4 linked regions of the Rhinolophus ferrumequinum genome follow. The protein of the gene in region 2 interacts with the protein of the main gene of each other region in a biochemical or structural test. Links are inferred from orthologs where the notes say so. Each region holds a gene or a part of one and is shown on either strand. Other genes may lie near its edges. The genes, in order: SLC34A1, PDZK1, CRHR1 and SLC22A12.

Region 1 (7,980 bases), on a different chromosome or scaffold from region 2:
GCCCACCTCAGTGTCACAGGTACATGTGGGTACATGCTGTGTGTTTATATGTATGTGCATGCACGTGAACCAATGCACATGCACTGCAGTGCACATATGTGAATATGTGTGGGCACGTGCATATGAAGCCATGTGTCCTATATGCCAATGTGTGTCTTGCTTGTGTGTGCACACGTTGTACATAATTGTGATGGCTAGGCTATGGTACCCAGTTATTCAATCCAACACTAATCTAGATGTTGTTTTGAAGGTGTTTTGCAGATGTGATTCACCTCTACAACCAGCTGACCTTAAAGAAAGGAGATAACTTCAATAACCTGGGTAGGCCTTACCCAATCAGGTAAAAGGTTGTCAGAGCACATCTGCAGCCTCCCCGGGGATGAAGAAATCCCACCTGTGCACTGCAGCACGGGCTTCTGCCCAGGAGTTCTGGCCTGCCCTTCCCCACAGCCTGCCCTTCCCCACGGCCTGCCCTTCCCCACGGCCTGCCTCCCAGCTTTGGGCTTGCCTAGCCAGCCTCACAATCATGTAAGCCAATTCCGTGCAATAAATCACATAAGTATGTCCTGCAGATTCCGTTTCTCTGATTTCTTTGGTTCTGTTTCCCTGACTGATGGAATGAGTAACTGTGTGGCAGTATGGAGGTGAGCCTTCCTGGGGTTGTGCCCCCCATTTGCCTCCCTTCCAGCTCCTGGGGCACCTCCCCTTGCTGAGAGTCTTGGCCAGGCCTTGGAGGACAGAGTGGGAGACACCAGAGCTCTGCCCTTTGTCCTCAGCACCCTGTCCCCACTCTTGCCCCCTGAACCCCAGCCCTGCCCTGTCCCCCCCAACCCTCTTGTCCAGCACACCCAGCTGCCCACACTTTCCCGGGCCCTGGTGGGCCAACTCACAGCCAGAGGAGACCATGCTGACAATGATGGACGTGGAGGTGCTGGAGCTCTGCACCAGCACGGTCACCAGGATGCCCACCACCAGTCCCGCCACCGGGTTGGACAGGATGACATTGTCTTTGAAGATGTCGCCAGCCACCTTCCCTGGGAAGCATGAGCCAGTGCTGTCTGAGGCTCTTCAGGGACCCTCCCCCAGTGCCCTCTCCTGGCCCTACCTCCAGCCAGCTGGAAGGCCGAGCTGAGCACATCCAGAGAGCAGACGAAGAGATAGAGGAAAGAGAGCATCAGTGGCACCTTGAGGAGGCTCAGGCCAGCCCGGTGCAGCTTCTGGACCAGTCCGGGCTCTGGAGATGGGACAGCTGTGAGCACAGTAGCCAGAGAGCTGGGGCACTGACTGCTGATGCCCTGCCACCTCCCCACCCAGGCCCACCTGGCTTCTGCTCCTCCTCCAGGGCCAGCTTGGCAGACAAAGGGTCATGGAGATCCAGAACCTCCCCGAAGGGGCAGCTGTGCTCGGCGAGGGCCACGGGGCCCAAGCTGGGGAAGGCATAGGCGGAGGTCCCTGGGATCCTGTGCAGGACTGGGGAGGGAGGCTGGTCAGGAGGCTGGTCAGAGGCCCCAGGTCCGGTGGGGGGGTCAGAGAGTGTGGGTGGAGTGCTAGAGGCTTCGCCCAGGATGTGGGCAACTGAGGGTAAGCAGGGTCCGGGGGTGGGAGCACACTCACCCTGAGGGCTGGGCACATAGGCAAAGGCTGCCCCGTGCATCATGTGCCCCCCGCGAACTGGGAGTGGGGAGACAGCAGGGGCCCCCAGCCTCTCTCCATAGGACATCATCCTGGGCACACGCTGTAGAGCCTGCAGCAACACTGAATGACAACTGCTGTGTCCTGGAAACTCACGCACACTCACACACCCACGCTCACATCCACACTTCCACACTCACTTGCAGAAACACTCATGGCAGGTAATCCTGAACTACACACCCAGAGAAGTACACCATCCACTCCCCCCGACCCCCCCCCCCCGCCCCGGGACGCACGCTCAGGTGCTCAGCATGAATTGGGCATTCATTCATTCATTTAGCAAGGACTTCTTGAGCGTCAGCTCTATTTCAGACACCGAGCTAGATGTTGGAGTTCAGTGGCAGCCGAATACAGAAACAGCTCCTGCCCCCAGGAAGCTTAAAGTGTGGTCCAGAGACAGATGTCAATGAAATAATCCCTTAAATAGATGGAAAATGACAATGGGGACAAGTGTTCTATGACAGATATAGGTGCCTGTGATGAATGGGTGGCCTGTTGGGGGAGAGAAGAGGGGATCAAGCTGAAAAGAATGGTCAGTAGGAGTTACCAGAAGGAGAAGGGGCAGAGTATGCATGCCAAGGCCGTGTGCAGGGAGGAGCTGAGAAGGCCCAGTGGCTGGAGGGGACCAGGGAGCACGCTGGCAAGAGGCTATAGGTGTGGGCCCGGGGCAGGGCCACGCAGGAGTCTTGACTGTCCAGTGCTGAGGAACCATGGACCCCTGCTTGCTCATGGGGCCAGCTGGGCACGCACTCAGGGAAGGGTCCACTGGCCTGGATCCCAAGTTCCTGGCTTCCCCTCACAAGTGAAGTGTTTTCCCCATCCAACCCCTACCCCACCCCCCAACAATAAACAAACCCTGCTGCCTTTCTCCCATGAATGAGGCTCAGACCAGGAATGGTTTAGGGAATGAGGGCCCTCCCACCCTGTCCCCTAGTCTGGGAAGCCCAGACTTGCTTCAGGTCCCGCCCCTGAACTGCCCCAGGAGCTCTTGGCTGTTATGGTGGGAGTGCTCCAGTCTGCTTCCAACCCCCACTCCCACCCCCAGCATTGTCCCAAGGATTCTTGGCTGTGGGGTTGGAGGAGCGGTGTCGAGCTGAATTCCCAGCCCTGGAAGACCATGAGTCCTTTTTACTTTGGGGAGTGAGCCAGATTGGGCTGGGCCTGAGATGTTGTGGGGGCAGGAAGCAGGCGACAGTTAGGACAGCAGTGAGAGGACCGGGATGATAACCTAGGAGTAGGGGATGAGGTTGGGATGAGAAGGCCCTGGGCTCACCTGGGGGTTCTGTGTTTCAGCTCCTGCTCAGCGGCTCAGGGAAGTCCCAGAGAAGCTGGGACCCTCCTCTTTATACCCTCCGGTCAAGGGCAAAGTTCCTAGAACCCTAGCTGCCCTCCCTCTGTTCCCCGATTAACCTCACCCCCGAGATTCCTCCCAGTTAATTGCTAATCGTCAGCTCTGCAGAGGGAGTCTGTAGTCAGGCTATCCCCTCCCCCACACAGACAGTCAGCCTGAGCCACCACCCAGACTCAGCCAAGGCAGGGACACATTCCCTACCCCCAGGTAGAGACCCTGAAGCCACTCAGGCATCTTGTTCCCAGGGCCCCCAAAGAGATTCCATAGCTCCAGTCCCTTCCTTTCATTCTTGGCATGACAGGACTCCCTGGGAGTGACCCAAATGTCCTGTTGTGTCTGTAGGTCTTGGGGAGAAGGTGTTTGGAGGAGAGGGAGTATGTGATGGAGGAAGCAACAGGAAACAAACATGGAGACGCTGCATAGTATGGAATCTTGAAGCGTCTACAATGCCTGACCATTAATCCAGGATGTGAGTCTAACAGAAAGTGAGGCCCCTGGCCAGACATGGAAGGACCTATGTGCATTTTGGAATGGTCCCTCTCGGTGTAGGGGTGGGAATGTGGATTGGGATGCATCACAGGGAGCAAGTCTGAAAGCAAAGAAATCAGTTAAGAGGCTGATAAGATGGTCCAGGTGAGAGATAATGAGGTCTGAACCAAGGTGGGAACAGGAGGGATGGAAAGGGGAGGATGCATCCCAGGGATACTTGGGCAGTAGAATTGGTGATGCGGAGAGTGGGAGGGGAGGAAATATACAGTTGGATTTCTGGATTGGGAAACTGAGGATGATATGAAACTCAGAGGGTCTAAGGAAGACTTTCAGAAGCTTGTTTCCCTTTCACAGGACTGTGGAGCCTGAATTAGTGACCAGATGCACAGAGTGACGAGAAGGAAACTTCCTTTAGACTAAGGGATCATAGTTGGATCAGATCCAGCAATGGTGGTTCCATTTAAGATCTAGTTTGGCAACTGTCTGACTAACCTACCTAACATCATCCATCCATCCATCCAGCCAGCCAGCCAGCCATCCATCCATTCATTCAGCCAGCCAGCCAGCCAGCCAGCCAGCCAGCCAGCCAGCCAGCCACCAGCTGGTCATGTATCTGTCCATCTATTTCTAAGCATATTAGTTGAGTTCCTACTCTATTCTGAGCCAAGATTGGCAAGACCAGCTTCTCTCCTGGTCCAAGCAATGGTCCAATCCCTGAGTCAGCCTGGGATTCTGAGGCCAGTCATCTCACCTCTCTGAGCCATAGTTCCTTCACCATATGGCAATTAGCTCAGCTTTTTCTCTGAGTTATAGAATTCAATGAGATAAATGACCCATTCCGTGCCTAGAACAGAGTCCTCAGCGTGTTTGCTCTCTTCATGCTCTCGTGACCTTTTCACTGTCTCCAGGATGGCTGAAGTATCCTGGCTATAAAATGGCCCCACCTCCTCTAGATTCTCAGTCCTGTTTCAGGTCCACAACTCCTCTTGGCCCACCAGCTACCTACCGTCTGATTGCTCAGGGCCCCCTAAGCTGCAGTCCTACTCAATATTGAACGTATTTTATTAGGGTGACACAGACCCAACCTTTTTTCCATCAAGGAAGGTAGACATTTCTGCACAGTTCCCTCTGTAATGTGACAAAAGTTAACTAGTTAGTACTTAATTTGCAGTGCATTGTGGAGTTGTCCACTGTGTAGTGCTCAGAATGGACTCCGTCGAAGCGACTCAGAGCAGAAAACATGGCAAGCCTGGGTTTGATCCCAGGTCCATCACATCAGGGCTGTGTCAGTTTAGGTCACAGAACCCACAGGGGAGAGAAGTGGGTGGGGGCGGAGGTGCAGCTGGGATTGGTTTGGTAACCGTAAGTCCCGGTTTTCCTGGCCAAGTCCTGGTATGACTGTTGGCCCAGCATCCCCTTTCACTCTGAGACGTGCTCGGCTTAGGACAATAAGCCATATACGAGATGTGATCAAACAATACAGTGAATGTTTAAATAAAAAAAAATGATTACAGTAAAAGACACATTGCCATTAATCCCCCTCAAAATACTCCCCCTTACTTCGAACACACTGATCTCATTGTTCTTGCCACTTTCTGAAGCAGTTCTGGAAGTCCTCTTTCATGAGTGTCTTTAGTTGTACTGTCATGGCTGCCTCGATGTCCCAAATCATTTTGACTTTGGGGAAGAGCCAGAAGTTGCACGGTGTCCGAGCTGGTGAATAAGGTGGATGAGGACACACTGTAATGTTTTTATTTGACAGAAATTGCCATGTACCAGAAGCCATGTGTGACATGGAGCGCTGTCATGATGGAGGATGATTTACAGCACACTTGAAAACACACCTCCCCTCACCTGTAGCTCACACCCGACTGACAGCACTGAACAAGGTGAAACTTGTCACACACCGTTACTAAGTTTCGACTTTCCAATTCCCGTATTGAAGATCTCTGCCTTTCCGTTAGATGGCATGTGGCAGCAGCATTCACTGTAGTTTTTGATCACAACAGAAAGGCTCCATGTCACACATTGATTCTGGTAAGGCAATTTCTGTCAAATAAAAGCATTACGGTGTGCCTTCATCTACCTTATTCATTGGATCTGGCACCATGTGGCTTCTGGCTCTTCCCCAAAGTCAAAATGACCATGAAAAGTAAACATTTTTGAATTGATTCAGGACACTACGCAGCCACAATAGTGCAACTGAACACATGGAAGAGGACTTCCAGAACTGCTTTAGAAAGTGGCGAGAATGATGGGATGTGTTCAAAGCGAAGGGGAGTATTTTGAGGGGGATTAATGGCAATGTATCTTTTACTGTGATACATTGTTTTTTAATTTAAGCATTCCTCGTATTTTTTAATCACAACTCATAGTATTATGACTTGTTCTGGGAGATTCTGGGAAACTGAGGCAGGGAATCAGCCACCTGGTGCTTGCTACAAAAGTCTCCATTCATAGGAAAAGGAAAATAAAAGCAACCCTGCTTCTCAGAACCATCACTGTGATGTTTAGAACAGTGCATTTTGTCCTTTTCTCTCTGCCTTTTTTTTTTTTAATTGTGAGTTTATTTGAGCCAAACTGATGACGTGCTGGGAAGCAAGATCTCAAATGTTCTCAAGAATGAGTTTTGTGGTTTCTTTTTTTTTTTCACCCCTAATTGATGTAGGAACCTCTTCAACCTGGAAAGAGTGGTTTGGATAAGGTAGGGTTCATGCATGGGTGGAGGGGTGTCCCCAAGCTAGGGAAATGCGGTTGTTAGTGAGTTCTTCTGTCGGAGTTGTCCTTAGGCTCAGAGGTCCTGCTAAAGTCACATTAAGGGTGGGTCAGAGGCTGTCTGAGCCTGAGCACCCCACCCGGGGAGCACCCGACGCCCCACAGTGGGCCCAGAGACTCCAAACTGCAGGCCCTCTTCCCCACCCCACCCTGCCTTGCTCAGACTGGGCTGGACAGAAGTGGCCGCAGCCTGCTTCACAGGTGCTGCTTGTGAACCAGGGTGCTTCCCTTTTTAATAAGGTTGATCTTTGACAGTTTCAAGGCTGCCCTTCTCTGCTCTCATGGCGCTCAGGGGTTAGTGGGGGAGGCACTTACTGATCAAACCCATCACAAAAGATATCATTACAAAATACTGTGGACTTATACATTCAAAATATTTCCCAAAATGCTGGGGGTGGGATGGGGCTGCTCTAGCCCTAGCAAAAGCCCCACAACGTGGGAGCCGAGCAGGGCTGCTTCAGGGACTCCTGAGAGGAGCACAGAAAGTGGCTGCACGCCAGCCTCCAGCCTCTCAACCCCTTCGCTCATTTCAACCTCCTTCCTGCTCACAGCCTGCCTCCTCCCTGTCTATGACAGATTCTTTGTGTCCCCCGGAAGGGTGACTCCTGTCCTGTTTGGTCACGTGCACACTGGCCACGGCCTCTCCAGACCTCTAGGCCTGGAACTGGGTGGTTGGCAGTGTCTCACATTGAGAAAAGGCTTCCAGGAGGAGGAGTCATCCTGGAGGGAAGATGCCAAGATCTGTCTGTACTGCTGTGTCTGAGGGGCCTCTGGCGTGAGCAGTTGGATCCGTGGGTCTAAAGCACACACTGTGCTCCCCTTACTCCACATGGGGCCTCCTGCTTATCCCAACCCCAGGAAGCAGCATGTGGTCCATCGAACAGGAAATGGAGCAGGCGTCTTTGACACCTCCTTCTGCACCTCCTCATCTCTAATCCATTGTCCAATTCTCCTGATTTTCCTTCTCCAGGAGCTCTGGGCCACTGTCACTCACCTGGGTTGTTGCAATAGCCTCCCAAATGCTCTCCCGGCTCTGCCCTCACTCCTTACAATCCAGCCTCCAACAAAGCAGCCAGCCAGCTTTTCAAAGCGCAGTTCTCATCGTGTCACCTCTCTCCCTTTTAAATCCTGCCCCTGCTAGCCTCTCAACATGAAGATAGCCTCCATCACAGCCCGGGGTCTCAACGTGGCTTGGCTCCCCCTGTGAAGGTATCCCCCCCAGGGAGAGTATGCACAATGAGGAGAGCTGGGGCCCAGGGCTGAGTCCAGAGGAGCCCCCACATTTCTGGGAGGACAGAGGAAGAGGAGCCAGGAAAGGACACTGAGATCCCCGCCTGCAGCCGGGACCAGGAGGAAGAGGAGAAAGCGGATGCCCCAGAAGCCGAAGTTGCCAAGTTTTGAGAGATGCCCTGGTCAGCTATGTCTGCTGAGAGGGCAGCTGATGTGAGAACAGAGCAGATTTAGTGATGTGGGAGAGCGCTGGGGGAGGAGGCAGCTGGCCACGAGTGGGAAGCGCAGACATCATGGCCAGTGTGAATGTGACAGGCGGACAGATATTGAATTTCGTCACACCAACGAAAGCGATTTTCCCAGGAGCAGCATGGCTGCTGACCGGAGTAGATACGATGCCAAGAACAAATATGCAAGTCCAGGAACGGAGCAAGCTGCGGAGG
Region 2 (7,075 bases):
GATAAGGGTCCGGCTGCTCGCTGCACAAAAGCGAAAGCTTGGGAGACTAGGTTAGTGTATTCAAAATGTCAGCACTCTGGGAGGATGGCGGACTTCTGTCCAAAGGCCATCCCCCCAACTCCCAGCATGGCCAAAAGGTTTTATAGGCAGGTAAGGAGACGCAGAACCAAGGAAAGTGGAAGTTGGTCAGGCACTTCCCAGAGGCTGCTTTGTTTCAGGGATAGGAGTGGATCTTATACAGACATGAGAACTTCTTTCAAGTCATTGAACCAGGTATGCATAGGGTCAGAAGTAAACAGAATCATAAAAACTGGTATGCATAGTAAATATATAGTAAACAGTCATTAAGGTTTGGTGGGAGGGGAGGGAAGCAAAGAAAACTTTCAAAAAGTCCCAAGCTAAACTACACTACTAAATCAAATTCCCCTAGAAGTTTAAATCTCAAAATAGAAGATATAGTGTCACCGTTACAAGATGACCTGAGAGTATCAGTTCTTCAACCTCTTCTCCTTCAGAGCAGCTTATCAAAACATCCCGATTCTGTCCTTGCAGCTTCTTTCCCGCCACACTAACTGCCATTGATCCAAATAGCTAAGCATCTACTCTCTGCCAGGTGTTGTTCTGGGAGCTGGGATCACAGCACGTACCACAAAAGACAAGATCCCTGCGCTCTTGAAGCTAAACATCTGGCAAAGGTGGTATATACAAAGTAAACAAGATGACTTCTGAAGATAGAGGCTACACATGAAGAGATACGGCGGTGGGGTGGAGGAGGGAGGGCCCTTCCTGGGGAGGTAACCCTTTAATTCAAACCCAAGTGCCAAGAAGGAGCCAGGCGTCTAAGCTCCAGGATCTATCATACCTGGTGGGCTGAACAGAACAACTGCGATCGTCAGTCTCAACCCCTTTTTTTATAGATGAGTAAATCGAGGCCCGATGAGATTAAAAGACGGGACCAGGTCTCCTGATGGACCGCAAGGCTGTTTCTCCCACTATCCTCAGAGCCTTCAGATACACACATTTGAGACGTACGCACGGGTGTGTTTATACTCAAACACATAAGTATGATTTCATTTTCAGTGCAGCCTTTAGCAAAAGAGGAGAGGCTTCGATAGATGATGAAATGGAGGCTACAGCTGGCGAAGTGATTTGTCTAATAGCCTGTCGCTGAAAACTGAATCAAACCCCAGGTTATTTGCAATCCACCCCCATGTTATTTCTTCTGTGTAGCCAGTGGTCTATGAACGTAAGACATCATTCCTAGCAACTTCATAGTTGATGGTGCAAAGAACATGCAAAAGAGTCAAAGATAAGAACAATTTACTTAGTCATAACATACAAACTCAAAGTCCCTGAGTTATTTGCTGCAGGAAAGAACATGTGACCCCAGGTAACTAGACAACCATGACCTGACACAATCAGTGCGTCCGACTTTGGGACACAGTAATGAGAGCATGTGGGTGCAACACTGCAGGGACTAAAACTAAGAAGGAATGTGTCCTCAAGAAGCCAGCCCAGACCAGGATTCTCCTTGGTGGGTGAGTCCTTAGAAGAAAGTCTCATGTGAGTCCCTTGATCCCTCTGCTTAGGAAAGAAGCTGCTAGTTGGTTACCAACCTGCACACAAGAGAACCATCTCGGTGAGTGCTAAAAAGAAAACAACCCAGATTTTTCCGACCTACGCGAGACCCAAAGAACTAGAGAATCCAAAGGGTAAAGCCTGGAGGTCTACGTTTTAAAATTCAGCCAGCCTAGAAATCACTGTTTCTCCTCATTTCTCCGTGCTATGACGTAATGAAAAGAGGAGCAATGCCTGTGTTCATTATCCAGAAAGTTAAGCTACGTTGCATCCTTTAAGACAACCTCTAACACCCAAAGCCCTTGCGTAGTGGGACGGCGCTGTATCTCGTGACCTGTGAGGTCTGTCGTCTCACTCCCTTTGGCTGCATATCAAAGCCGCATACAACCCTGGGAAGATTTTTCTGAGGATCGTCCCCAATTCCTTGGTGAAGCAGACCCTCTCCTGCCAAGGGTTGGGGCATCTCCAACAGAGAGAATCTTGGAGAGAGGTCAATCTCTCACCCCACCCCCCACCACCACCAAAGGGGCCTGGCTCCTCCCCCGTGAGCCTGGCTTATGCTCTGAACAGCCAGCTACTGCTTAGAAAAGGAAAGGGGAAAGGAAGAAGGTGCTTCAGGCCCAGGTGGGACACAGTCAGCTCTTACCTGGGTCTAGAAGAGGAGCGGCTCGTACTGGGGAATTTACTGTCTGCTGGCAAGCTGTAGTCTTGAAACTCACTGGACTTTGAACGAGGATTGATTTAAAAGCTGATGTATTTAACAGAGACGCATGGTCTGAGTTGAAGTGACCTCTGTCCGGCTTCCTGCCAGCTAGCTCAGCCCTGAGCTGGACAAACCCCAAAAGCCCTCAGCAAACCCAACGCACTGGCCCACCGGCCTATCTGTGCGGGATGCCAGCCCCTCCCAGAAAGGAGGAGGGTGGAGAACAGGGGAAGGACAGCCTCTGCCTTCCTTGGTTCCCTCCCTTCAGCAGATGCCACGGTCACAGCCTTAGGAGCCTCCACTATCTTCCATCCCAAGGTCAGGACTGAGGCTCACCTGAGCATCCCCACCCACTGAGGTCTTCCCGAGGAGCAGGAACCTGTGCGACGCCCACCAATAGAAGGCCAGGAGGCCGAGAAGCCCAGTGAAGGGAGCAAAGCCCCTCCCGTGCCCATCCTTTCTCCTGTCTGCGAGGGAGTTCTCGCTGGCTCCCTAGGAGTAAAGCCCGGGCTCTTACGTCCCAGGTCCCTTTCTCTTGTTAAGTGCTCTCTCTCTCTCACCTGAGCGTGCTCTGCTTCTCTTCTCAGTTGTCTTCCCCTTCCACAGTTACGGCCTCTCCAGCAAGCCCCGCCGGACAGGTGGGAGGCACTTGCACGCGCTCCTCTCAGCCCGGCCACCTGGGCAGTGTGGGGGCGCCCCGCGCTCGGCTCAGCACCCCAGCCGGGACCAGCAGCTGATCCGTATCAGCGGCACCCACACAGGCAAACCCAGCACCCGGCTCCTCACTGACCTGGATCCTCAGCCCACACTGGAAACCAGGGCAAGAGATGGCTTTAGGCTGTGAGGCAGAGCGACCCACTGGCCGAGCAGGGGGTGGCCTCTCCCTCCACCCCCATGCTGCAAGGGCCATTTGTTTCCGCTGGGCTTTGGCTGCCTCCAACAAAGGCATGGCCCAAGCCAGAGGGTCCATGGTGGAAGATGACAAACAGCTGAGCAGCTAACTCAGGTCACCTCCACCTGGTGCTGTGGCCCCCTGGGCTCCCTGTGTGTCTTCCAAAGTAGAAAGGAGGAATGGGGAGAATCTGGATTTCAGATCTAAACACCTGGGTTCACATTCTGACTGCCATTTCCCAGGTGCTTGATCTAGATGTTTCTCCCTCTGAGTCTCACTTAGCTTCATCCTCTGTAAATACTCCTTATTACGTTGTTTTTAGAAGTTTCCTTTTTTTTATATCGAGTCAAAAAGAGCTCTCACTCCTGCCCACAGGTTCTGATGGCTCCCTCTGAGATGAACTGAGTCTACTCTGTAGCTATATAGCAGTCCTTCAAATACTGTGGGGCTGATGTATCCCCCATAAGCCTCAGTCCTGAAGGTGGTCTGCCTGTGCCAAGGCTTCAGGACTTCTCTCCCTGGACCCAGTCGATTTGTCAATGTCCCTCTTAAAATCAAGGACCTTGAGGGGAAACTTTGTTTTTCTTAACCTTTTTTAAAATTTTTTCGGGGTTTTCTTTGTTGTAATGCCAGGTGAGAGAATTGTTCTATATCTTGAGTGTCGGGTGGCTCTGCAGTTCACTGTCTACAAGTACAGAATTTCACCAACCTGTACCCCTAGACTAGGTGAATTATAGTGTATGTAAATAATGCTATCATTTTTTAAATGAAGGAGCCCCAGTAGTAAAATCTATTCTTGAGCCTTCTGAAATTTAAAAAAAAAGTTGAATGACAGAAGAAAAAAATAAATAAATAGATAACCCTTACAGTGAAGCTTCCACTCCAGCCCCAGTCGAGAGGATTCTCAGACTCGCCCTCCATCCCAGCACAGATGGAACCGCCACCAGCCTTCAGACTGGACATAGAGAGGCCTTCGAAATGCAAAACACAGTGTTGATTCAAAATTACATGGAAATGAGCGATTTTTTTTAAAATGACAAAAACCCTACCCCGGTGAAACACTGAACGGAAGGCGATTTGCCCCCCCACTAAAATTTGGATTTAAAAATCTCATGCCTGTAAGTGGATTTGATCTGATTAACGCAAAGCAGAGTAAGTCTTTTTATAGATGACTCAGATCTAGACATTAAGGAGAAGGGGAAATAAGATTACCTAGCCTGGTAAATCTTCATAGCCATTATTCTGTTATAATGGGGATATCGGCTCAGCATGACCCCAGGAGACGATATCCCCATTATACAGATAAGAACACTGAAATTCATCTGACTAGTTATCGTGTCCAAGGTCATCTGGCTCAGAAAGATTCAGGAGCCTGTCCCTCTCCTTAGGCAGTGTTGTTCCACCCACCATTCAGGGAGGGAGTGTGTTTTTTTTTCCCTGGAGGTATTCAAGCAAAGGCTGAGGATCTGTGTCACGTTACAGAAGGATGTTCTGCCTTGTTAGGAATAGGGGATTTTGGGGGGTCCCTTACAATTCTAAGATTCTGTGATCCTAAATACCTTGGGTCCTAAGGCAAGCCCGTGAAGGTGGATGGTGTAAGTCCTGGTGAGGGTCTAGAAAGCATGTAAAGCTATGAGCATGGATTTTGGCATCAAACAGATAATGTATTGAATCCTAAATCTGCCATTAATAGTTTTGTAGTTTTGTGGGAATTTTTTTACTGTGAGCTCAAGTTTATTTGGGCTTTATCTCTGGGAACCCTTGGCAGGCTGGGTGGAGGGTTTTCTTTGGGTTTTGTCAGCCAGCACCTCTCTATAACCCTAGAATAATGAGAAGACACTAACACCCTGGGGCCAATTTATGTTAATTACTTGTCTTAGTGTTTCTAGATCATGCAAATAATTAATGTCAGTTACAACCCCAGCCCCCCCTAAAGGGCAGATCTGTGGTTGGAAATTTGCAGGAGAGAATTCCTTTTTTTCCCATAGTCCAGGTCAACAGATTGTTTCCTCATTATCCCTGATCTGTTTTTCCCATAAACATATCCTCTTTTATCATACTGATATATGTTTATTATTTTCTGTCTCTCCCCCACCAGAATATAAATTCCCCAGGGTCAGAGATCTGTATTTGTTTTGTCACGGTATCCCAAGTGTCTGGCATATAAGCCTAGCTTATAGTAAGCTTTCAAAAATGTTACTGAATCAATAAGTGAATAAATGAATCTCCTTTTGCCAACAGGATTGGTTTTCAGCTCATGCTTTCACTGAGAACGTAGCTTTTGAGGATTTCAGTTCTGTGGAGGGTCTCAATTCTGAGGTCTTACCTCCTGTCCCAAAGTGACCGTGTGAAAACAAACTGCTAGGTTACTGGTTTCAGCTTTCACTTCACTTCTGGACCTTATAGATTTCTTTCCTTTCTTTCAAGTTCAACTATCTATTTGGAAAAAAAAACTGTTTGATATATTTTACCCAGTTTTTCTATGAACTTTGAAGAGGGAGGGTTTTCAGATGACCTAGTCTGCCATGTTTGCGGAAGTGGTTCTACCATTTGCCTCTCAAAACTCTGGCTTTTTCTTCTGTAAAATATAGATAATACTAACAACCTCATAAGATTTCTTGGAGACTTAAGTAAGAAGACATTTTTACATCACCCAGAGCCAGGTAAATGCTCAGTACATAATCGTGTTACTAATGTTTTTGCAAGAATAAGCCTTCTTAATTTATGGGCACACATTGTACAGACAGGCTCCTGGAAATAAACAGGCTAGAAGTACAGTGGGCAACTCGGGAGCTCAGGATGTTTGGGGCATTGTGGTAGTGTTCTTGCCCACTCACAACACAGCGTTTTGTGCAAGTGGTCAGACACAGAAAACTGGAAACACTTGCCAATTCTCCCCAATATTTTCCCCACCGTGTCACACAGAGAAATTGATAATAATTGTACAGTTCACTAGGGTAAATAGCTGAGGCTTTTCAAGGCTGGAGTGACCGAAGGCCAGCTGCCGCAGGCTCTGCCCAGACCCCCCAAAGATTGAGGGGAATAGTACTTGAGCATACACTTAGAAAACTATAAAACATTGTTGAGAGCCACTCAAGAAAACTTAAGTAAATGAAGATGAGTGATACCATATCCGTGGATTGAAACTTCAACACTGTAAAGACATCAGTCCTCTCCACATTGATCTACAGATGAATGTATCGCCAATCAAACTCCCCACTGGGTTTTTTCTGTGATTTTTTTTGTTGTTGTTATTTGTTTGTTTTTTGGTGGAATTTGACAAGCTAGTTCTGAAAAGTAAGAATAAGGAAGGAGTTGCTCTGCTGGGTAACAGGACAGTAGAGTGACAGTAATTACTACAATATGGCATGGGCATGAGATAGACAAATGGACCGATGGAATAGACTAGACAGCCCCACAACAGACCCGTTCAAATAAAACGGTTGACTTCTGACAAAAAACAGAGGGAAAGGTTGGTGTTTTTTCAATAAATTGTTCTGGTGTATTCCTTTTAGGTGTGTTTTACTTCATTCAATAATTACCTTTGTGAGAGTATCCACGTTGCTGCGTGCAGTTGTTTTCATTCTGGGATTCTGTTTACATAATGTCCAAATACCAGGCAGAACTTGGGAGATGCCTGCTTAGGTGGTAACACGCTGTCCTGACTTCTGGGGTGCTGGCAAGATTCTAGCTCTTGAGCTGAGATGTGGTTACACGGGTGTTTATGACTGAGCTATGTAGTTTAGTTTTATGCCCTTTTCTGTACATATATTGTATCTGATAATTGAGGGTAATAAATATTTTAAAAGCTATGATATGTGTATAGCATACTGGGGTCAATAGAAGAAGCTCTCTGATGCTGGAAGTGACATACCTGGGGGTTTCAGCTGTGCTCAGCCCTA
Region 3 (7,381 bases), on a different chromosome or scaffold from region 2:
TCACTTTTTCCCCCTCGTTATCCCTCTTGCCAGTGTTCCCCTCAAAAACCTAGCTCCATATTATTTGTCAAAGAAACAATTAGGAAATGGCCCAAATGTGCAGCAACATAGGGATGCAAAGAACACTCATTGATAGGGAATAGGCAGATGCTGACAATCTCCCTCTGGAGGCTTGGGAATAACATGGAAGAAACTTGGGCTATGACACAGTCAGTGGAATAGAGCTGCCCAATGGTCACAGCTCTACCCAAACCTGCACTTGAAAAAGGGCCTAGAGGGATTATTTTAAAAATGGTAACAGTAGGTGTGTTAGGAGGTGAGCCTGTAATAATTTTCCCCTCTGGTTTCCAAACTTTGTGTAACGTGGCTAGATTACTTTTATAATAATAACAGCAAGAAAACCAGCTCCTTCTTCAGAACTCACTCTCCTTTAATAACCCACCCAGGCCTTGCCTTCTCCACCCTTCACACTCACCGGAACCCACGGTGTTGAGTTACACTCGGGTCTTCCTTCAGGGAGTTGTGGCTAGTGGGTAGGTTGACCCAGATGCGCTGGAACCCCGCTCCCTTGGGTGTAGAGGCAATATTTCACTTATCTCCTCCTTCGCATCCACAAACACGCACACACACATCTCTCCCGCATTCACACACACAACCACCCTCTCATGCACGCACACACATTTCTCTCTCATGCACACTCACACACATTTTCCCCACATACTCTCCCCACCCCACCCCACCCCTACTCTGCCCCAGTTCTCTGTAATCTCTGCAGTACAAGGCCCACAATAAGGGCTGCAGAGTGGATTCTTGCCCAACACTGGCCGACTTGCTGGGGACAGAGCTGGGTTTTGGATTAACTCCCCTAGATTCGTAATTTTATACTGACAAAACTACCTGAACTCTCATCTGGCAGAGGTCTAGGATGAGAGTTAAATGGCTTAGAATGTTTTCTGGTAAACGCTAACAAAACAAAGCCTTAGAGCCACAGTGCCTGGGTTTGAATTCTGGCTCCATCACTTACTGGCTGTGTGACCTTGAACAAGTTACTTAGCCTCTCTGTGCCTCAGTAATAATTCCTACTTCCTAGGGCTGTTATGAGGACTAAATGATGTAATATTTGCAAAGCAGGTAGAACAACACCCAGCAAGTTGTGCATAAAGAAAAAAAAGAATTATTTAACTGAAACCAGCATTAGCTGTCCATTCACTCACTGCCTCTCACTCAGTTCGGTATTTACTGAGCACTTACTGAGTTCATTAGATCAGACATAAAGGGTACATACCTCATCATCTAGTAGGAAAAACACACACACAACAACAACAGAAAAAATATTTTTTTCTTTTAGGAAAACATGATAATTTTAGGCAGTGATTTGCACACGATTCTCAGAAAGGCCAAAAAGAAAGAACATTTACTTATTACCAAGTAAACTTAAAAAGAAACAAACAAACAAAATCTGTCTACAGTTCAATCCTTTGAATCCATTTAAGACACTGAATTCGGTCTAACTGATTTGTGAATTTCGACCAAGGCCGGGAGTCCACACCAATCTTTTGGAAAAAATTCCCATTCAGTGCCATCTATTCATCCTCTCTGGATATTTTTCTTCGTACCTCCCTCTCCAGATCTCCTTGATCACCCAGAAAATAATCTCTAGGTTCACCCCCAGTACTCAGTTAATGGGTGGCGAAGGGGATGTGGGTTCAATCGGACCAACCCTCAGTCATTAAAAACAAAACCCACAAAACAACTTATAAATATCTGGGACACGGGGGGAGAACACGGAGAAGCCTCGGTAACTGGTAACCTCTCAACTGATGAACTGAGAACAGCTGCGTTTTAAAACCTCGGTGGTTTACCTCAAACCACTTTGTGAGTTGGTATGCGTACAGTTGGTTTAATAACTGATGGGAAAATGAAAAGTCAACCCGCACCCTTCCCCACAGTCCACTCAATTCTTCTGAATGAAATCGCTTTTAAACGCACTGAACCCCGTCACGCTGGTGTCTGCGTCTGTGACTCAAGCCGTCCATATCAACCCGGCCGAGTCCGGATCCTCTGGCCAGAGCCTGGCCGGGCTCCCCCGCGGCGGCGCGTAGGCCCACCCGCCTTCTCCCTCCGTCTGCTGCTTACGTGCCCTCACCCTGCAAGCCGAACCGCTTTGGGAAGCGCTGGGCGCTGGGGAGTGGAGGCTGTCACTAGGTGGCCGCGGGCCGGACTGTCTATCCCCAGCCCTTCCCGGACCCACACCGCCGCGGGCAGCCCCCTGCCGCCCCCGAACTTCAGCGGGCAGACGCTGGACGTGAGGTCTGGCGACTTTCCGAAACTCCGGGCGCCAGAATCGCGTTGCCAGACCCCAGGCAGGCGCGAGCCTTCACGGCCCACTGCGCAGCGCCCGGTGCAAAGACTCGGAGAGCGAGCGCTGCGCTCCCGCGGGCGGGCGGGCGGCCGCGCGAGAACAGTACCCACCTCCGAATGCACCGTCTCAGCCGCCGAGATTGCGATATTGATCAAGGGCTCCGAGGCGCGGGTGACATTCATCTCCCCGGACTTGCATCTTTCCGCGCAGGGGAAGGGGCAGGAAGGAGCTCCCAGGAACAGGGAGGGGGCGTGCGGAGAGGGGTTGCTGATGAGAGGTATGGGACGGGCAGGGAGCTCAGCTTCAGAGCCCCCTGTCCCGGGGCCGGGGTCTGCCTGGGAGGGGTGGGAGCTTGGACGCCCAAAGCCTAAAGCGATTCTCTGCACAGAGCCGGTTACCCGGGTGGGCGGACCCCCTCCTCCGCCAACATCCCAGCAGCTTCGCCACCGCGATTTCTTTTTTCACCTGTGTTGTCCCTCCACCCACCCAACGCCTCCAAAGGTCCAGGGAGAGGGAGTTGGGCAGCCCCTCAAACCCCGGCCGCGCCCAGACCTGTGCGCAGCTCTGCCCACTGACACCACCACCACCGCCAGCACCGCCAGCAACACGGCTCACCCACGTCCCGCGCTGGCCCGGGGCTGAGCGCGCCCGCGCTCGAGAGCTACCGGCTCGCTCTTACCTTGACGAGCCGGAGCTGCGGGTGCCGTCCCATCCTTGGGTCGCTCGGTCACCGTCCTGAGTGCTTGGGTCCCTCGGACATCCCAAAAGGGCGGGCCGGCGGTCGCGGGCTCAGGAGGATGGGATGGGCGGCCGGGCTCCTCTGTGGCTGCCCGGCCCCGCCAGGCGTGCTCTCGCTCTTCCCTTCCCGGGTAAGTCCGGCCGCCGTTTCCTGACTCAGCCCCGCTGGCAACCGCTTCTTGCCCGCCGGGAGGCCGCCTCACCCCCGCCGTCTCCCCCTGGGTCCACGCCGCCACTCGCCTCGGCTCCCCGCCCCCTCGCCGCGGCGTCCCCTCCCCTCAATCTCTCTCCCCTCCCCTCCACTTCAGTCCCTCCTCCGCGCGTCGCCCCTCTGCTTCCTCCTCCACCTTGTCTCCCAGTCCCCTCCTCTCCCCCCGGCCGGCTTCCCGCACCCTCGCCGCGCTGACCCCCTTTCCCAGCTCCAGGGTTTGCGGCAGTCAGCGGGGCGCGCGCTAGCAGCGGTGGCGGCCGCCGCAGCCGGGGGGAGAAGCAGGAGACGGGGGGAGCGAGGGGGGGCGAGGGACGGGAGCAGAGGCAGCCTCCGGCCTCTCGCCCGGCTTGAAATCGGGGCCCGGGGAGTCCAGGGCAGTCTGGGGGAGACTTGGCGGACTCAGGTGAATCTATGAGAGCAAGACTGTTGGAGGCTGGGGAATAGGGCAGCCCCTACTGAGCAGAGCCGCGGCGGAAACCGGGTGAAGAAATGGGAACTGCGTTTGGGCCGTTCCCGCCCTGAAGCGGGCCACGAGAAGGTTCCTGCGGCTCCCACTTCAGCAGGGCGGGGGAGTTGGGCCGAACCCCCAGAGCCTTTGGCACTGACACGCCAGGTGCTCACAGAGACGCGAAAGCTCTGCGGGTGGAATCCTTCTCGTTCATTCACTCAACTCATTCGTTCGCTCCTTCATCCATTCATTCATTCTACAGACTAAGTGCCTGCCCAGTTTGGGCAAGGGGCTGAACCTGGGAACCCCAAGATGATGGGGAGACGGGGGTGCCTTGCAGGATTAGCCGTCATCTGACCACCGCGGAGGGGAAAGCCGAGCGCGCATTGCGCTACAGTGGGGAAAGCATCTAGGAATCCAGCGGGCAGCGCGCGGAGGAGGCCACAGCGCCCCCTTTGGGCCGAGCCGTCAGGGTAGGGTCAGCCGCCCTGCCAAACCTCCCGGTCTTCATCCGGAATAGCTCCCTAGCTCCCCAGTGCACCTCCAGCTCTGGGAAGTAACTCCTCCCTCTTCCAGCCCTTCCAGTTGGACAGAACTTTTGACTTCTCCTACCTCTTCTTTCCAACCGCCAGAGCTGAAAAGGGTGGTAGAGAAATCACTCTTCCCTGAAGAGCCTCGGCCTGCTAAGCCGCAGCTTTCCTGTGGAGCACTTCTGGTGGAGCACAGTCCCAGAGTGGTGGTCAGAAGACTTTGAACTCAAACGCTGAACCTGACTGCCCTGGATTCTGTGCCCCGCTGTTCCCAGTCCCCTCTTTCCTTCCACCCATTCACTTCTCAGCACATTGGGCAAGAGCCAGCGGGTTCATGGGTCCAACTGATTCTTCTTAAAAGGGAGTTATTGTAAGAGGTTCAACATGAACAGTTTACTTATGAGGAAACTGAGACTCACAGACAGGTGGTGACCTGTTCAAAGTCACATAGCTGGTAAGCCTAATCCTTAGCGTCCTGATCCCTGCTCAAAGTGCCTGTAGTGGGGGGCCCTGATGGGGTTTGAAGCTCTGAGGTGGGGAGGGGCATTGCCCAGGCAGCCAGCTGGTCACAGTGGCTTAGCCACACAGGGTGGCACTTTCTAGATGAAGCACTCAGTCTGGAGTCTTGAAAAACCCCATTTGGTTAGTGCCCCAGAGCTTGTCATGCTGAGTTTGGAACTAACTTACCCCAACCAATTCCCAGAAGAGATGGATGCACCACCCAGATTGCACCAATTTATTGTTCTCAACCAAAAGTAAATGCAGGGGGGGCTGGCCCGATGGCTCAGGCGGTTGGAGCTCCATGCTCCTAACTCCAAAGGCTTCTGGTTCGATTCCCACATGGGCCACTGAGCTCTCAACCACAAGGTTACCAGTTCAATTCCTCAAGTCCCACAAGGGATGGTGGGCTCCGCCCCCTGCAACTAAGATTGAACAGGGCACCTTGAGCTGAGCTGCCTCCTGGATGGCTCAGTTGGTTGGAGCAAGGGCTCTCAACCTCAAGGTTGCCAGTTCGATTCCTCGACTCCCTCAAGGGATGGTGGGCTGTGCCCCTGCAACTAGCAACGGCAACTGGACCTGGAGCTGAACAGCACCCTCCACAACTAAGATTGAAAGGACAACAAGTTGAGTTGGAAAACAGGCCTGGAAGTACACACTGTTCCCCAATAAAGTCCTGTTCCCCTTCCCCCCCAAAAAAATAAAAATAAATAAAAATAAAAATAAAAAATAAATGCAGGGCAGTCTAGTGGAGTGCAGGTTCTGGCGTCAGACAGCCTCTTGGATCTTCTGTTTACAAGCTGTATGAACCTGAGAAATTATTTAACAGTGCCTCTACTTTCTCATCTATAAAATGGGGGTAGGAATACCCACCTCATAGGGTTTTATGGAGGTGCAAGTAAATCATTATTTTTAAATGGCTTAGAATGGTGCCTGGCACGTAACAAGAGTTTCAAGGTTAGCTTTAGCCACCATCACTACCACCACCACTGAGGGGACCGGATGCTCAAATGTGTGGGCAGTGTGGTCCCTCTCTCTAGGCAATTCTTTGTGGAAAGCAGAATTCTTGATGAGAAGGTCACAGCAGTGGGGTCTTGTGGAATCAGAGCTGGCAGGTCCTCAGGAGGTTTGCCCAGGCCCTGCAGAGGCCTCACTCCCCAGCTCTGCCCGACCTTGGAGCTGACTCTCCAGGGACCAGACAGCTCCAGATTTCCTGATTCCAGGAATCTCTCTGCTTAATAAACACCATCAAATGTTGCCTTTCTGATCCCTGTGGTTCTCCCCTTGACTTGATCTTTAAATATGCTAATACATCGATCAGGCTGTAATCAAGTCTTGTTCTTCCGGTCTTTTTGGCCTGGGATTCTCTTTCTAAAGGGGCATGTAGGAGGGCACATTTCATTGCCCCTCCTCTCCCCTAGGTGGGAGGAGGAGGGCTTCTGTATCACTCCAAGATCTACTTATTTATGGTTTTGGCCTTGACTGCCTCAGGATGTTCACGAGAGCCACATTTTTAACACCCCTTCTGTGAAAGGATTCCATATCCCCTTTCATTTGTCCTGAAACTGCTTCCTTCCACCTTCAAGAGCCCGGCTCTCATCTGCTCTGATGCCACCGCCAGAGGTGGTCCATGCCTCCCCCACCGCACCCCCCTCAGCCCCAGGTGCTCCAGCCTGAAGCTCAGGGTGGTCTCCTTAGGCAGCCTCTCCACACCCTCCTCAGGACAGACTGCTGCTCCGTTCCGGCATTCTCTTCCCTCCCTGACCCTTCCCAAACTCTTTTCTGACCCCTTCCTGGCCTCATCCTCTTCCTGTCCAGGCCCAGTAGGCTTTCATTCATTTAACACGCCAGAAATGGAAGAAAGAGGAAATACGAGGTATCCAAACAGTAAAAGACAATTCCAAGTCCTTCCAGACGTGAGAACAATTAGTGAAGGGCTGACCCTCAGCCACCCAGGGCTCCTCAGCTGACCTGCCTGCTTCTTCTCTCCTCAACAATAAGTCTGTATCAATTGAGGGCAAGTGTGCTTACCCCGAGCACAATTACCATATTTTTGCATTTATTCAGTGTGGGGCCCAGCAAGGGAAGGCTCAGCCTGTGGGGTTCCCTTGGCATTCACCCTGGGTGTTTCAGTGAGGCCAATAGCCCAGAACCATACTTCTTAGCCTATGTGTGCCAAAGCACCCGTTCATGGTTTTAACATTTTTAATCTGTTTCAGAATGATACTATTGCAAAATACAGTGGGAATTAATTATTAGCAAAAATGAAATGAAACATAAAGACATGCAAAATGAAAGCCCACGTTTTAAAACTGTTAGATCTAAGGGACATAAACATACCCTGTCAAAGTGCTTTTACATCTCTAAATGCTCACTCTCAATCTCTGCGCTTAACCTTGTCATGGACTGGTAGAAAATAGTTTGCAGACAGCTCATGCTCGGAATAGCACTGGTCCAGAATGCTTCCGAAGTATAAGGTCAGGAAAATGGCCTCGTGGAGGGAACGGCTAATAAAAGCGCATGAACATCAAGGGAGTTGGTGTTCATTGCTGCATCCATCTGTGCATTCACTCAACAAACACTTAATGCGCAGC
Region 4 (7,469 bases), on a different chromosome or scaffold from region 2:
ATTTACTTCCCCCTCAAACTTGCTTTCCCCCCCGGCCCATGTTCTAGATCTCAGGAACTATTCCCCCCTTCACCCACCTGACCAGAGGGTCATCCTTTTTCTCCTCTCTCAGCACTCACATCCAACCCGAAGCAAATCAACATAGCTCCAGGGCAAGCACCTCTCCCCACCTGCCCTGCCGTCCTAGCCCTGATCCCTGTCACCTCTCTCATGGACCATACAACAGCCTCCTGGGACCGTCCTCCTACACTTGCCCCCTTTTAGGTGTGTTCTCCACACAGCAGCCAGGGGGGTCTCTCTGCATGTTCTGGCCCCATCGCTGCTCTCCTGACGTCTCATCCGACTCTCTCTTTCGCTCACTCCACTCCTGACTCAGTCCAGTTCCTTGAGCCCACCAGGCACACGCCCGTCCCAGGGCCTTTGCACTTGCTCTTTCTTCTGCTTGGAATGCATCTGTGCTTTGTCCCCTAGGCTACTCAGGTTTCTTCCAATGTCACCTCCACAGAGAGGTCTTCCCTGACTGCCCCATTCAAAGTGGACCCCTTACTCTACCCCTTAAGCCACCCTGTTTCTCTCCATGGCATGATCATTATGTGTCAGTATATTACATTATATTTATTTATTTATTTCAAAGATTTTATTGGGGAAGGGGAACAGGACTTTATTGGGGAACAGTGTGTACTTCCAGGACTTTTTTCCAAGTCAAGTTATTGCCCTTTCAGTCTTAGTTGTGGAGGGCGCAGCTCAGCTCCAGGTCCAGTTGCCGTCTTCTAGTTGCAGGGGGCGCAGCCCACCATCCCTTGCGGGAGTCGAGGAATCGAACTGGCAACCTTGTGGTTGAGAGGATGCACTCCAACCAACTGAACCATCCGGGAGCTCAGCGGCAGCTCAGCTCAAGGTGCTGTGTTCAATCTTAGTTGCAGGGGGCGCTGCCCACCATCTCTTGCAGGACGCGAGGAAATGAACTGGCAACCTTGTGGTTGAGAGCCCACTGGCCCATGTGGGAATTGAACTAGCAGCCTTCGGAGTTAGGAGCATGGAGCTCCAACCTCCTGAGCCACTGGGCCAACCAAAAACGAGACTTCTTAACAAAGACTTGAGGGAAGGGGCTCTCTGGGAGAACATGGAGAACATGTGCCTGCCACAAGGCACAGCAAGTACAATGGCCCTGAGGTAGAGACAGGCCTGGCACATTCAAGAGACAGTAAAGAGGCCAGAGGCGCTGGTGTGGAGAAAACGAAGCAAGGAGGACATGAGCCTAAAGCGGTGGGAGAGGGCCGCTCCTTGTAGGGCTTCAGCTTTCACTTAGTGTGAGATAAGACACCGCCAGGTACTGAGCACAGCAGTGACATGGTCTGATGGAAGTAAAATGAAATCCCTCCATCTGTGTGTGGACAATAAATTGTAAAGGTCACAGGTGGAGGCAGGGAGGCCAATGAAGAGGTCCCTGCAATGACCCAAGGGAAGCAGGACAGCGACCTGGGCCAAGGTGGCAGCAGTGGAGTCACTAAGAGGTGGACACGTCCCAGGCACGTTTTGAAGGTAGAACCAACAGGACTTTCTGGCCAATGGCACACGGGGTGTGAAAGGAAGAGAATGGTCAGAGATGACTTCAGGGCACTGTCCCGAGCAAGCCAAAAGCTGAGATGGGGAAAGCCATGAGAGACGCATGTTGAGCGGGGAGTTCAGCTCTGGCCACGGTAAGTGTGGGATGTTTATTAGGCCTGTTATAAAATGATTAAAGAAAACAACTGAGGTTTATTTGGGTCAGAGAGCTGCACGCCAGGGAGTGGAGCTCAAATCCAACAGTGACTTCCCCACAGCCTTTGGCAGTGATTTGGGGGAACCGTCAGCGCAAAGAGCGTCTCGTCCCACAGGCCGTTCGCAGTTAGCTTAGGATCCCATCCTCGTTCCCAAAACTCTTACTAAACAATTGAAGAGGACAGTGGAGATGGTACAAACAAACTTTATGACATACTTCACGAAGTGGACAGTCTCCACGGGAATAATTGCAAAATGGAGCTAAAGGCCTGACAGTTCTGTAGGAAGAACAAGGAAGAGGAGACCCTTGTTTGGGGTGAGAAGGAGCCCGGAAGTAAGCAGAGAGCCCAGAGGGGCCTTGACATTGATGATGGCTACCTGGACAGACAGCCTTCTGGTCAAGTGCAGCATGTAAAGGGACATAGAAGTCATCTAAGGGTTTGCTGACGTGGCACCCTAGGTAGGAGCGGCTCCCCTGGGGCCTGGAAGTTTATCTCAATAGGCCCCTGAGTATCGGCAGTTGGATTAAAGTTTAGCACTCCAAGAAGAGGTCCGAATCGTCCCAACGATAGAAAAGATAGAGAGAAGAGAACCAAGGCTAAGCACTTTGGCTCCCACGGCCAGAGTGTGAGGAGAAGAGAGGAAACCAGCAAAGTGACTGAGAAGCAGGTGGGGAGGGAAGGAGAACCAATGAGTCTTCTGGAGGGAGAAGGGGCAGGGGCGGTGAGGGCGCGACTCAGGTATGGATTGAAAATGCCACTGAATTCAGCAGCAGGGACATCTTTGGTAACTGTGGAGGGACAGGGCAAAACTTTATAGGAATGAATCAAAAAAGAAGGGGAAGAGAGAAACTGGAGACGAGTGTCGGTGATGCTTTCATGGAATTGTGCTATAAATGAAATCAAGAAAGGAGTGGCACTGAAGAGAGAAGATGGGTTGGAAAGGAGGAGGATTTTTTGAGGATTGGAGGAGAAACAGCATATTTGTCATTGATGGGAATTGTCCAGTAGGGAGGGAAAGATAGATGCCAGGGAGAGAGGGGGACTTGAGCCGGTGGAGGGGGTGGGCTGCAGGGCACACAGTAAGGGGCTGGCCAGGACGAGGGGGAGCACGCAGGGCATTGACGGTGGCAGGAGGGAAGGCAGACCGTGGGGGCACCAAGGCAGGCGGGCTGCCAAGAGAATCAGACGGTTAGCTTCTGACGCCTTCTGTTTTCTTAGTGAAATTAGGAGAAGGGAGACATCTTCTAATGAGAGCGAATGAAAGACAAGGGGGGAGGTTTGAAGACAGGAAATGGTATAAAATACATGGTAGCTCCTAGTTTGTGAGTTCAAATATAAAGCTAACATAAATAAAAAGTCCCATTGCCAAACCAGGATGGAAGACAAACAGAGCAAGAAAATCTGAAATTCCATAGGAAATGGGAACAAGGAAACAAAGGTGTAAAGAGAAAATACGGTAAAGAAGAAAATGTAAGTCCCAACATGCCAGTAACCACAATAATACAAATGGGTTAGAATCACTGGGGAAGTCAGAAGCTTTTCATTTGGATTTTACAAAAGGAGAATTAAGCTTAGTTTGCAGCCCAGGCTGATGAAGTAAACATACCAGGGGCTAAAGGAGAGTCTGGAAATATTTGCACCAAGGTGTTAAGGGTGGTGATCACTGGCTGGTTTAGAAGTTTAGGAGTGATCTTTGTTTTCCTTTCCATATTTTCTGAGTCTTTTGGAAGGTGTATACATTAATTTTATAATCAGGAGAAAAAAATACGAGCTGTTTTTAAAACCAGCTGAAGCAAGTCTTCACGGAACCTGTTTGTTGTCTGAGTTGGCGCTGGGTTCCACGGGTGTTCAGCAGAAGGTCCCCTGCCCTCCCAGGAACTGGAATGAGACCAGCTGGACAATAATAGAAGGGTGCCAGCAGTGTGAAGATGGGCTCATTGCGGACTTCCAGGCGAGAGGGGGGACACGGCTAAGCAAGGAGAGCCCCCTGGAGGAGGAGGCTTTTGTAGTCCATGCAGAATGTGATCCAAGGGGGAGGCTAGAGACAGTATTCCAGGCCGGAGGCACTGCCTGAAGAAGGTGTCTGGTGACATTGGAAAGTCCCATAGAGGGCTCAGGAGAGGGTGACAGCAAAGGGCGGACAGGCATCAATGATTGCAAATGAGGAGAAGTGAGGGCGGGGAGTGAGGCCACACCAGCTGGGAGGCACGGGGTTCAGATGGTGGCCGGTGACTTCACACACACACAGGTCTTCACAGTGCACGGGATGTCGCTCCAGGCTCCCGCCAGCCCAAAGATTAGGAGGCTCCCCAGTGAAGCAGGCAGGGGTGCCAGGGGGTAGCAGCAGCTGCACGCGTTCCAGGGGAAAGCCAAGGCCTCCCCCACGGCCATCAGAGACCAGGCTGCTCCTGGCCAGGCCTCCAGCCCACGCAGGGCAGGGGCTGCTCTTCTTTTGCATTTGTGCCTCCCTCAGAGCTGGGTTAAATTTTGACAGAGGAAATGATTACTAACCCCTATTCTATAAATGCCACCTGGTCACAGTTTAATTCCAGTCTGCGTGACTTCAGTCTCCACTTTTCCCCCTTCTCAAATTCAGCTTCTCCCAGAGGTCCAGGGGAAGCTGCATCTCTGGGGAGATGCCAGTGGCTACAGGGTCCCACCACACAGCCTTGGGTCCCCGTTGGAGCCACCCTGAGTGACAGCTGCTGGCCTCCGAGTCAGCGAAGCTGGGGCCGCTGCCATGCTCCAGGCTGCCTGGCTGGCGAAGCCTGTGCTGCCAGAGAGGAGGTAGGCTCCTGGCGCTGGCCGCTTGGCCCTGAGCCAGCCTCTGTGACGTGGGCACCTCCAGGGGGTCCTTGGAGGGCTCCATGGCCTTTTCTGAACTCCTGGACCAAGTGGGCAGCCTGGGCCGGTTCCAGGTCTTGCAGACGGTGGCCTTGGTGGTCCCCATCATGTGGCTTACCACTCACAACATGCTGGAGAACTTCTCGGCCGCCGTGCCCAGCCACCGCTGCTGGGTGCCCCTCCTGGACAACAGCACTGCCCAGGCCAGTGCCCCTGGTGCCCTGGGCCCTGAGGCCCTCCTGGCTGTGTCCATCCCACTGGGTCCCGACCATGAGCCCCACCAGTGCCGCCGCTTCCGCCATCCACAGTGGCAGCTCCTGGAGCCCAACACCACAGCCACCAACTGGAGTGAGGCTGCCACTGAGCCGTGTGTTGATGGCTGGGTCTACGACCACAGCACCTTCACTTCCACCATCGTGGCTGAGGTAAGGGCCTCTCCTGACAACCTCCCCGAGTCCGGCCACCTTAGAGGCCAAAGTCACTGCTCGTAGTTGGCTGGACTCCGAATGGCCCACTCCCAGGAGGGACCGCCGGTGCAGGCCGCCCCACTCTCAGGGGAGCTTCTAGCTGCATCGCCCTACAGAGGAGGGGGTGGCAGGAAACAGCCTACAGAGGCCCGGTGCTGGTAGAGGAGCAGGCGGCACCGACTAGGTGTCCTGGACACCCAGGCTGGCCCTGCTGCCGCCTGACAGCGGTGGCTCAGGCAGCCGTCTCCACGTGTGGGCTCGGTTCCACTCAGAAGATTCGTTGGATTCCTGAGGCATCAGACAAATCTGGGAAAGTAGGAAAGGCGCCCATCCCAGCAAGCGGGAAGAGCCTCTTTGTAAAGAAGCAGAGGGAGGTGGGAGGAGGTGCCAGCTTGGGGAGGGCTTGACCCTTGACCCGAGGCAAAAGGGAGCAATTAAGGGGATTAGGCAGGAGGTGACAGCCCTTGCTGTCCCACAGGGCCCTGCCCTATGACCCTAGAGGTCGAGGTCACCAGGTCAGCACCCACATTCAGCTGCCTGGGACCTTCCTCTCTAGGTCCTCTGCCCCCTCCCACCTGGGCTTTCTCATCTTCCCCCTCCAACCTCCTGAGCTCAGCTCCTCCCATCTCTCCTACCAGTGGGACCTGGTGTGTGACTCTCAGGCCCTGAAGCCCATGGCCCAGTCCATCTTCCTGGCTGGGATCTTGGTGGGAGCCGCCGTGTGCGGCCAAACCTCTGACAGGTGCGTACCCCTAGTGCAGGCAGGCCCCATTGCCTTCGCTAGATGCTTGTGTGTGAGTGCCCCTCCTGACACCCTCTGGCTGTGCTGCTGAGCAAAGTTCGTGCCCTCTTTGGGCCTTGGTTTCACCGTCTCTCCTCTGGGGTTGTAGAGGAGCATGCCCTTATCAAACACTCACTGCTGAAACCTGCTCAGCCACACGCCTGCCTGCAGCTGCTGCTTGGATGCTCCTGCTGACAGGGAACTCACTTCCTGCCCAGAGTGTCTTTGTGCACCTGCGCTCACGGGCCCTCCGTGGATGAAGGATGTGGGTCTGGCCCCAGGTGTCCCTTTAGCATCCACCTCTGCACAGCGGACAGAGGGTGGGCTCCGGTGGTCCAGAACCCCGCGGCCCACAGTGGACCTGGCCACCATCCCGGTGTGTGTCACAGGTTTGGGCGCAAGCTGGTGCTGACCTGGAGCTACCTGCAGTTGGCCGTGTGGGGCACAGCGACTGCCTTTGCCCCCACCTTCCCCGTGTACTGCCTCTTCCGTTTTCTGGCTGCCTTTGCCATCGCGGGCATCATGATGAACACCAGTACTCTCCGTAGGTCCCCCTGACCCGGGGCCATGCAGGGGAGGCTCTCAAAGGCTCCTGGAATGACCTATGTGGTCTCCTTGCAGTGGTGGAGTGGACATCAGCACAAGCCCGAGCCTTGGCAATGACTTTCAACGCCCTGGGCTTCAGCTTCGGCCAGGTCCTGTTGGCCGCAGTGGCCTATGGTGTGCGCGACTGGACGCTGCTGCAGCTGGCAGTCTCTGCCCCCTTCTTCCTCTGCTTTGTGTACTCCTGGTGGGTGCTGCCCCCATCCCCCTCAGAGGAGGAGACCCTGCCTACCCTCCACCCAGGGGAATAGGAGACTCTCCTCGCCCCAGGGGCAGCGGGCTGGGGGCGCAGGCAGCCAGGGGCACAGGGCAGCAGGGGAGTCATAGGATGGCAGAGTTGGCAGCCACAAGCCCTCGATGTTCACCTACTCCAACCCAGAGCTCAATTGTCCAGGATTTGTCTCCTTCGTCTCCTTTCCCTGCTCCTCTCAGGTGCTCCTTCTCCCTTCCTCACCCTTCTCCCTCCCTGTTCCTCCCCGTCCGTCACCCACCGTGATCCCGTGGCCATCTCTCTCCTCCCACCGTGCTTGGCCCCAGTAGCACGTGGCCAGTACCTTGTCGTGCCCTCCCCAGGCAGCCTCACCTGTGCCCACAGCTCTTCCTCCAAATGCTGCAGACCCTGAATTCCCTCTCTAGTCCTGCCTCTCCCTGGCCACCAGTCTGCTGTTTCCAAACGCCTGTGTGACATCTCCATGATTGGTGTCGCAGCACCAAAATATAACGTCTTTTTACACAGCTCCTCCCCAAGGCTCCCCCCCAGCATGGACAGCAGCCCCCACCCACCAGGTACTGGAGTCAGAGTTGCCATGACACCCTCTCCCTCACCGTCCCCTCCCCCCAGTCCAACAGGTCACTGGCTCTTGTCCACTCTACTTCTGTCAGGCACCTGGATTCCTCCCTCCATCCCCAGAGGCTCAGGGCCCCGGTGGGTGTGGAGCAGGCGCCCCATACTATGGCTGCTCTCGGAAATGGAAAGCATACCTGGCTGGGGAACTTGCACAAGCAAAGGCC

Evidence for each region.
Region 1: the proteins of PDZK1 (region 2) and SLC34A1 form a complex in vitro, tested with the Homo sapiens proteins (2 studies listed by BioGRID and IntAct, with this or other methods). The link is inferred for Rhinolophus ferrumequinum from reciprocal best matches to the Homo sapiens genes PDZK1 and SLC34A1.
Region 3: the proteins of PDZK1 (region 2) and CRHR1 form a complex in vitro, tested with the Homo sapiens proteins (2 studies listed by BioGRID and IntAct, with this or other methods). The link is inferred for Rhinolophus ferrumequinum from reciprocal best matches to the Homo sapiens genes PDZK1 and CRHR1.
Region 4: the proteins of PDZK1 (region 2) and SLC22A12 form a complex in vitro, tested with the Homo sapiens proteins (2 studies listed by BioGRID and IntAct, with this or other methods). The link is inferred for Rhinolophus ferrumequinum from reciprocal best matches to the Homo sapiens genes PDZK1 and SLC22A12.

Annotation. Positions count from the first base shown.
Region 1 is NC_046307.1:5,237,286-5,245,265, forward strand, and holds the start of SLC34A1 (sodium-dependent phosphate transport protein 2A), read right to left. Parts: upstream 3,016-7,980; 5' UTR 2,966-3,015; intron 1,756-2,965; 5' UTR 1,724-1,755; coding exon 1,615-1,723; intron 1,471-1,614; coding exon 1,321-1,470; intron 1,235-1,320; coding exon 1,106-1,234; intron 1,035-1,105; coding exon 891-1,034; intron 1-890.
Region 2 is NC_046305.1:49,993,607-50,000,681, forward strand, and holds the start of PDZK1 (Na(+)/H(+) exchange regulatory cofactor NHE-RF3), read right to left. Parts: upstream 3,009-7,075; 5' UTR 2,842-3,008; intron 2,455-2,841; exon of another isoform or gene 2,225-2,454; intron 1-2,224. UniProt on the Homo sapiens protein: A scaffold protein that connects plasma membrane proteins and regulatory components, regulating their surface expression in epithelial cells apical domains.
Region 3 is NC_046304.1:40,818,531-40,825,911, reverse strand, and holds the start of CRHR1 (corticotropin-releasing factor receptor 1), read right to left. Parts: upstream 3,014-7,381; 5' UTR 2,545-3,013; coding exon 2,473-2,544; intron 1-2,472.
Region 4 is NC_046294.1:6,934,200-6,941,668, reverse strand, and holds the start of SLC22A12 (solute carrier family 22 member 12), read left to right. Parts: upstream 1-4,468; 5' UTR 4,469-4,630; coding exon 4,631-5,032; intron 5,033-5,712; coding exon 5,713-5,816; intron 5,817-6,244; coding exon 6,245-6,399; intron 6,400-6,476; coding exon 6,477-6,645; intron 6,646-7,469. UniProt on the Homo sapiens protein: Electroneutral antiporter that translocates urate across the apical membrane of proximal tubular cells in exchange for monovalent organic or inorganic anions. Involved in renal reabsorption of urate and helps maintaining blood levels of uric acid.